Linked DNA regions of Lytechinus pictus. Each later gene encodes a partner of the first gene's protein in a complex. Links are inferred from orthologs where the notes say so. Each region holds a gene or a part of one and is shown in the gene's direction. Other genes may lie near its edges.

Region 1 (3,757 bases):
ACATTGCCATCCTTATTTTGCCACACATGGAGATATAACTGAGAACAAGGTTATATCATAACCTTGTTCATTGAATGAGTGGGTTTCTTACCAGATTGATGTCGCGTAGACCCCTTGATCCACATGTAAACAACGCAAATACAATAGCGTCGACCCTTGAACCGCTTATGTATTACGTACTTCCGATAAGCAATGCCGTTTTGAAGAACAATTTATAGATAAAAAATATTATTTCACAAATACTAAAATTTATTACGTGATTATAAATTGGCAGTATTATACTAATTATTTATAATCACGTAATAAATTAGGCAAAAGTTAGGCAACACACAAATGCACACAATGATGTACAACAGGGCTTGTTGCATGGTGAATTGTGTAGGGATTTATTTTTTTTTCTCTTAGTTACGAACTTTTTTGAGTGAAAATAGTTGCAGTTTAGATATAAGAAATTAGATCTAAAAATTTTGTTAGGTATCTGTGGATTTTGTACAATGGCACTTGAAAGTCTGACTACTCATCCCCTCCCTTCTAATTCTTCTCACCAGAGTCTGGTAGCTTTATCTACCTTATTGAAGTCCCAATGCTCCCTATAGTGAAAAGAATGCTAGCCTGGATAAGATTATTTTAAGATTAGAATTAAAAGAAGGGAAAAGAAAGAACGAACTTTAAACTTCGAGAAAAAATGGAAGAGGTTAACATTAGATGAGAAGAAGAAAACATGAAAAACAGTCAAGGAAAAGTAAGGAGAAGAAGAATTAGAATGGGAGGGGATGAGAAGGAAAATGAGTAGGAGAGGAAAAAACGCACAAAAAAACCCAAAAATAAAAAGAAAGAGGCGATGTTATGTGAAGTCAAACTTGCAATGAAATAATTCAAATTTTACACTATTCAGAATATGTTTGAATACATGACTTGAATCTCCCACTCTTGGTATATGGTGCTCCGTCAGCAATATGCAACATATTCAAGACCTTTTTTTTTCCATCTGCTGGACAAGATGTCAACGCTGTTTATTTTTATCTTTTTACCTGAGTCGGTGTAATATCTGCCCAGAATATGTATATCATACAATAGAATCATTACCCATCAGCCCTTTGTTATGTTGATGCAATTATCTCCTTCTATTTTCCTATCTCTTACTCTAAATATTGTAGGATCCTTGTTCCAACTTCCTCGTCATAAAGTTCTGCAAACCACCACTTCTAGAACTATGGCTCACATAACTACTGAAGGAGTTGGTAAGAATGGAATTTACTGGGCTATCGGTGGAGTTACTTTCTTCATTGCCTCAGCTACATTAGTAAGTATATTATATTTACAATGTGATATGTGGGCAATCATGTGGGATTTATGTGTACGTGGTGTGGATTGGAAAATTTGGCATTTCAAGAGTTTTAAATCATCTGTTTTAACTCTCATGTGTAACTTTGCTTCCATTTTTAAATTTTGCCCAAAGAAATAAGATAAGTTTTAAAGCAGTAGATTTTCTTTTTTTTTTTTCAGAAAACAGTGTTTGTGTTCGGATGAAACTTTTCTTACCATTGACCATATCAACTCTAGTAATGATATAATCACAATCTGTAGAGAAAGCATTTGATGGAACTTCGGAAGTAAGATTCATCATGATTGTTTCAGCTCTTGATTGAAACTATCAATTGGGTGTTTTTAATTTTTTTTTTTCTCCAGAGACATTGATTTACATTACCCATAATTTATCTAGTTCTTAGAAGCACCAGAAGAATTAGTCTAGTTTGAGCTTAGATGACATTGGAGTGGTTTGATATCCTTGTATAAAAATTTGATTATCAAAAGAAGTATCCTGTGATATGATACATGTATATGCAATTCTCTTTAGGTTCAAACACAAGGTTTAGTAACATGGGGTGGCCCACCTAAGAAAGTAAATTTCAATCTGGCTCCTGCCAGTTCAGCTGGATCTGAAGCCAGCCCTGCCGAGCCTGCAGCCAGTACCGAGGCTGCTCCAGCAGAAGGGTCAACAACTACAGGTCAAGGTATGTCAGATGTGGGTGGAGGGGGGGTCTCTATATTTATGTACCTCAACGTTTTCTTTATGATAACAATGTGACATTAAAAGGGTCAACAACTACAGGTCAAGGTATGTCAGATGTGGGTGGAGGGGGGGTCTCTATATTTATGTACCTCAACGTTTTCTTTATGATAACAATGTGACATTAAAAGCAACAAATCCACTTATTTGAGTGCTCAAGGCACATAAAGAACTAAGAAGTAAATAGATGATTTGAGACGATTTTTTAAATATGAAAAAGAGATAAAAATTTGGATGTCTTCCTGAGGGGAGGCAATTCCACAAAATGGGACATGTATGAGCAAAGATTCTTACAATACAAGTTTTATGATAATAAATGTGAATAGAAACATTCTGTTAATAAAGTTACAAAACAGAAGTTCTTAATCATTTTGTGCAAAATACAGCAGACTCTGCTTTTTGTCTCGTCCACCAGAGGTGAAGGCGAGACTTAGGGATCCAAATGTCGTCCGTCCGTCACAAACCTTATGACTTATAACTCCACAACCGTAAGTCACTTTTCAACCAATCTTGGATGGTAGATGGACTTGGGGGAACCTGCATGTTATGCTGCAGTCGGAGGTCAAAGGTCATTTTCAGGTCAACGTTAAAGTTTACATGCAAGATTCTCTTATGACACCTTACTCCGCAACCGTAAGTCACTTTTCAACCAATTTTGGATGGTAGTTGGACTTGGGGAGACCTGCATGTTATGCTGCAGTCGGAGGTCACATGGTAAGGTCAAAGGTCATTTTCAGGTCAACGTTAAAGTTTACATGCAAGATTCTCTTATGTCACCTAACTCCGCAACCGTATGTCACTTTTCAACCAATCTTGGATTGTAGATGGACTTGGGGGGACCTGCATGTTATTGCTGCAGTTGAAGGTCACATGGTAAGGTCAAAGGTCATTTTCAGGTCAACTTTAATGTTTACATGCAAGATTCTCTTATGACACCTAACTCCGCAACCGTAAGTCACATTTCAACCAATCTTGGATGGTAGATGGACTTGGGGGACCTGCATGTTATGCTGCAGTCAGAGGTCACATGGTAAGGTCAATGGTCATTTTCAGGTCAACGTTAAAGTTTACATGCAAGACATTCTTATGACACCTAACTCCGCAACCGGAAGTCACTTTTCAACCAAACTTGGATGGTAGATGAACTTGGGGGACCTGCATGTTATGCTGCAATCGGAGGTCACATGGTAAGGTCAAAGGTCATTTTCAGGTCAACGTTAAAGTTTATGTGCAAGACTCTCTTATGACACATAACTCTGCAACCGTAAATCACTTTTCAACCAAACTTGGATGGTAGATGTACTTAGGGGACCTGCATGCTATTGCGTTGGGAGGTCACATGGTATGGTCAAAGTTCACTTTGAGGGCAACATTAAAATTTACGTGCAAGACTCTTATGACAAGTGTTATTCCATCCTAGTCATTTCACAATGAAGTTTCGTTACAATTCTGATGTAAATCACGATATTTCTGGTTATTTTCATAAGTGGGCGAGACACAAAATCTCTTTTTCCTTTTTGATAAATGTGTTGAGATAGTGCATTCAGATTCTCCTCCAGGTGAGGTATAACAACCATTATATGATGAATGTTCATAAAAAAAACCCAGATAACTTACCCTAATTTAAAGGTATAGAAAGTAGTTGCAGCAAATAATTATTAAATGAGAAAGTCTTTTACATCACAG
Region 2 (3,757 bases), on another chromosome or scaffold:
ATAAAGATTCTACCACGTCAGGCCATCCATAACTGGACTCGTATTCGTCGTTCTCAGACACTTATCAACATTTTTGATAAATGCTATCTCTAATTTATGCAAAAAATTGTCAAATCTTGTGTTTCGGTATGTAAACATTTAAAATTTATGTTAAACTATATTTTGATGATGTTTGGAACCATTAATAAACTCATAATTATCACAAAGAAAACAACTGTGGTTTACTTTCGTAAACTATCCAAATCTACTATCCCGGGGATACCCATCTCAATGTCCACATGTAAGTTTTTAGTCATGAAATTGAAATGAATTATTCATAATTTGATTTTCTCAGCAAATGAATGCTCCAGTCTTCATGGTTTAAGTATGCATGGTACATATTTTGCCTCTGCTATTATTTTGATTAAATGTATTTCCAAATTAATCACAATAATTGCAGTTTTATCATATTTTTACTTTTAAAAAATTGTGCTATTTTGTGACTAAGGCTACGTCTCGTCTGCTCTTTCAACCGATAGTATCGATATCAAGGTATTCTAGTTAGGAAGCCTTTCGTGAAACGGGTTTAGTAAGATTGAAACTAACTCCGTGGTTGGTGGATAAAGATATGACTAACTTGTCCAGGTAGGTATTAGTATACTAGCTCCTAGTCCTAGTAGCAGGAAAACACTTGCTTACCTCCGCCGGTCTGGCCCGGGGATGTTTCCTTCGAGTTCGTGCTGAGGGGTAGTAGAAGTGCGTTTCCCTTTGTCGTGGGATTTCCCATTTTCCTAAAACTGACGTCTGGTTGTGAATACAGTTTGATCTTCTAGTCCCAGTACACTATCTGATCCCCTGAATATATTTTTATTTTCTTTTAAACTACTCAAATTAAACAATTTACGATCGGTCGACCAGACGGTTACACATTATGGTCTGGTCATATGCCAACAAACGGTATACGATACGGCGTACGGTCGACCGGCCGGGATGCGGCGTATACGTGGCGACTCGCACCATTGCTTTCCATTCAATTTCGATTCGAGCTACCAATAGTGTAATGGTCTTTTGATCAGCAGCCCATTCACTAAATATGATAAAATCTATGCATAATGATAAGAAATCAATTTCCAGCCCCAGCATTTTATGATCATAAGAATCGATTATCATTACACTGAAATCCATTAAATACATAAAATGGCACCATTACTACATAATAAGAAATTATCATCTGGATTTAGTAATAAGATATAACCATTTTCCTGAACAAAAACTATTTACGGTAACACATGTGTGTGCAGGTATTTCTTACATCATCACTGTTAGCTGCTGCGTCTAAATACAAGTCGAATTCTTACAGAATTAGGGGAGAATTAGATAAACAACAATGTCGTATTGTCGCCAAGAGGGTATGTATAATGTTCTCAGATTATTCTCTTTTATGTTTTTAAAGCATGATTTGAAAAGGGTGTATTCTGAACTCTGAAGTATTTCTTCGCAACATTCTTCATCATCTACTTCATCATTCATGATGATGATTACGCCGTACTTCCCCGCGGTTGCCGGCTGCCCCAGCCTAGCCCCTGTCCAACGGCCCGTCCCCTTCCCGATCCCTGGGCCCTGGCGCGCTAGCGCTCAGGCAGCCTCAGCTTGTTTCACTGGCCCGTATTCTGAGGTCAGGTGTAACTTAGACTAAGGTTTAAAGTTGTGGTTTAAGTATGGGAAGCCAAATGTATCATTTTTTTTATTAAGTTGTAATTGTACATTTCCTATGTTTACTCACTCACACGTATTGCGAGGCTAGTACCTCGTATTACTATTAGTGTGAGTGGTATTAATAGTATACTAACCTCGCACCATGAACCGCGTGTGGCAGTGGATTTCTAACTAGCTAGTGGGTCTCGCGTGATGGGATCTCACTTCTGGTGTCCACAACACATGACTTCTATGGCTTGATTTTTCTGTGCGCGGCAGCATGTAATGAACCCTTGGGTGATGTTTACTGTGCTCTTTCCTGATTCATCGATGGTGAAGACAATCATCTATTTATACGTACTTTTTACACAATTATGAATGATTTGAGAGCAGAATGGGCTGAAGTATGATATCTCTACCGTTAGTGGTTTATGTAACAATTGGCTGTCCATACTTAAACCACAACTTTAAACCTGAGTTTAAGTTAAACCCGACTTCAGAATACGGGCCACTGAGTCTGAAGTGCGTGGAGCTACATGTAGCTGGAGCGCGATAGATACATGTACTGGGCGGACGTGCATTAACAACGTTTAAAAACAACGGGCATTAAGGTAAGGTGGGCCTGGCTGAGCAAATCATGTCACGTCACTCGTCGGTAGCCGAGTGCTGCATTATTTATATATTCACGGTTATTTTCAATTCCGTTAAACGCCTGACTTAGTTTTATATGGGGAGTCGAAACCGAACAGTTTTCGGATAAACAAAAACATCATGATCATTAGATCATACCTTTACTTTAGGCTTTGTTTTGCCAAAGACAGTTGCCACCTATACTGAAAGCAGTGTAAGCCGGTCTGGGTAGCCAAGAGGCTCCTTGAGAGTAAAAATATTTTACTAACGTATGCTTACTCTCCAACGGAGCCTGGGATTCCATCCCATTTATCTGCGTATACCGCCAAAAAACCTGAAACTTTGGCCCCCGAGATTTCTACTTATAAGATCTAGCCTTAAATCATGTAAATCGGATACAACTTCATTTCCGACATTTCTACGCTATCAATTTCATTTATAAACAAGAATTCATAAAAAAATGAAAAAAATATGAAAAGACGGGGGAGACTTGCCCGATGCTTACGCCGCCATCTTGTTTCTCATTGTCCTTCGCCGTTACTTTTCTCTCTCTTTCTCTTCCATTGCACCTTGGGCACTGTGCAGAGCGGATTTGGCGCATTACAAATCCCTTCTAAATACCAATCTTACTTTTGTAAATCACTGCAAGTACAAGCAGTGATGATCAGTAATATACAATGGCTTTTTGTACAAACAAAACTTATTGTAGACATGTTTCTGTGTTCTTACGTTGATCTTTGTGATTATTTTTTTTATTATTATCAGGGAAGGACCAAGTTCTCTTCGTCACAAAGGAGGACCATGAAACCCCCATCAAGGAGGAACTCAAATATCTTGCTGAGGAAGAAGAACCAGAAGGTACATAATATCTTGTTGATACTCGACTAAATCACCCAAGACTTTACTGATGTGACGTTACCATATTGCTTCTAGACTGATGGTACAGAAAGGATACATTATCTGGAAAAAGGAATTATGTAAACAAATGTTTGCAACCATGTCCATGATATTTTGTGTTACCACACCCTTAAAAATCCTAGCTAATGATATTTGTTTGAAAGTAAACTATCTGTAATGGCAGCTTGTGGGCATTCCAGCAGTAAGATGTAAACTAGAAATTAGGGCGAAGTCAAAATTTTAAACGTCATTCTAACAACATTTTAAGAGGTTCATTTTTTCCTACTACAACTGTGTGACCGTATTGAAGAAAAAAAAAACACTTCCCAAAATGTTGCTGAAATTCTACAGATCAATATTGTACATATTGTAGTCCCACATGTAGACTTTCATGTAGGTAGATCGAGTGTGACATCGATTGAAAACAATCTTTCATTGTCAAGAAAGATGGGAGACTCTCTGATTCTCTTGATAATTCCCAATTAAATCAAAAGAATTTCAAGGAAATATGGAAAATAAGTAGGCCAGTTCAATTTCATTTATATGTAGCGGTGAA

What was found. Proteins that work in one complex are often made in the same cells at the same time.
Region 2: the proteins of apoptosis-inducing factor 1, mitochondrial-like (region 1) and mitochondrial intermembrane space import and assembly protein 40-like are in contact, whole or in part, in a cryo-EM structure (PDB 9GQZ), measured with the Homo sapiens proteins. The link is inferred for Lytechinus pictus from reciprocal best matches to the Homo sapiens genes AIFM1 and CHCHD4. Residues at the interface, in NP_004199.1 of Homo sapiens: Pro345, Tyr347, Ser500, Ser501, Leu502, Pro503, Thr504, Val505, Gly506, Val507, Phe508, Ala509, Lys510, Glu558, Asp559, Tyr560, Asn602, Ala605, Lys606, Phe608, Asn609, Ile610, His611; in NP_001091972.1 of Homo sapiens: Arg5, Glu7, Lys9, Asp10, Arg11, Ile12, Ile13, Phe14, Val15, Thr16, Lys17, His20, Thr22, Pro23.

What each region holds. Positions count from the first base shown.
Region 1 is NW_026974140.1:13,269,993-13,273,749, reverse strand, and holds the start of apoptosis-inducing factor 1, mitochondrial-like, read left to right. Parts: upstream 1-1,161; 5' UTR 1,162-1,213; coding exon 1,214-1,303; intron 1,304-1,858; coding exon 1,859-2,015; intron 2,016-3,757. UniProt on the Homo sapiens protein: Functions both as NADH oxidoreductase and as regulator of apoptosis.
Region 2 is NC_087247.1:23,673,327-23,677,083, reverse strand, and holds the start of mitochondrial intermembrane space import and assembly protein 40-like, read left to right. Parts: upstream 1-959; 5' UTR 960-1,036; intron 1,037-1,280; 5' UTR 1,281-1,366; coding exon 1,367-1,388; intron 1,389-3,069; coding exon 3,070-3,162; intron 3,163-3,757.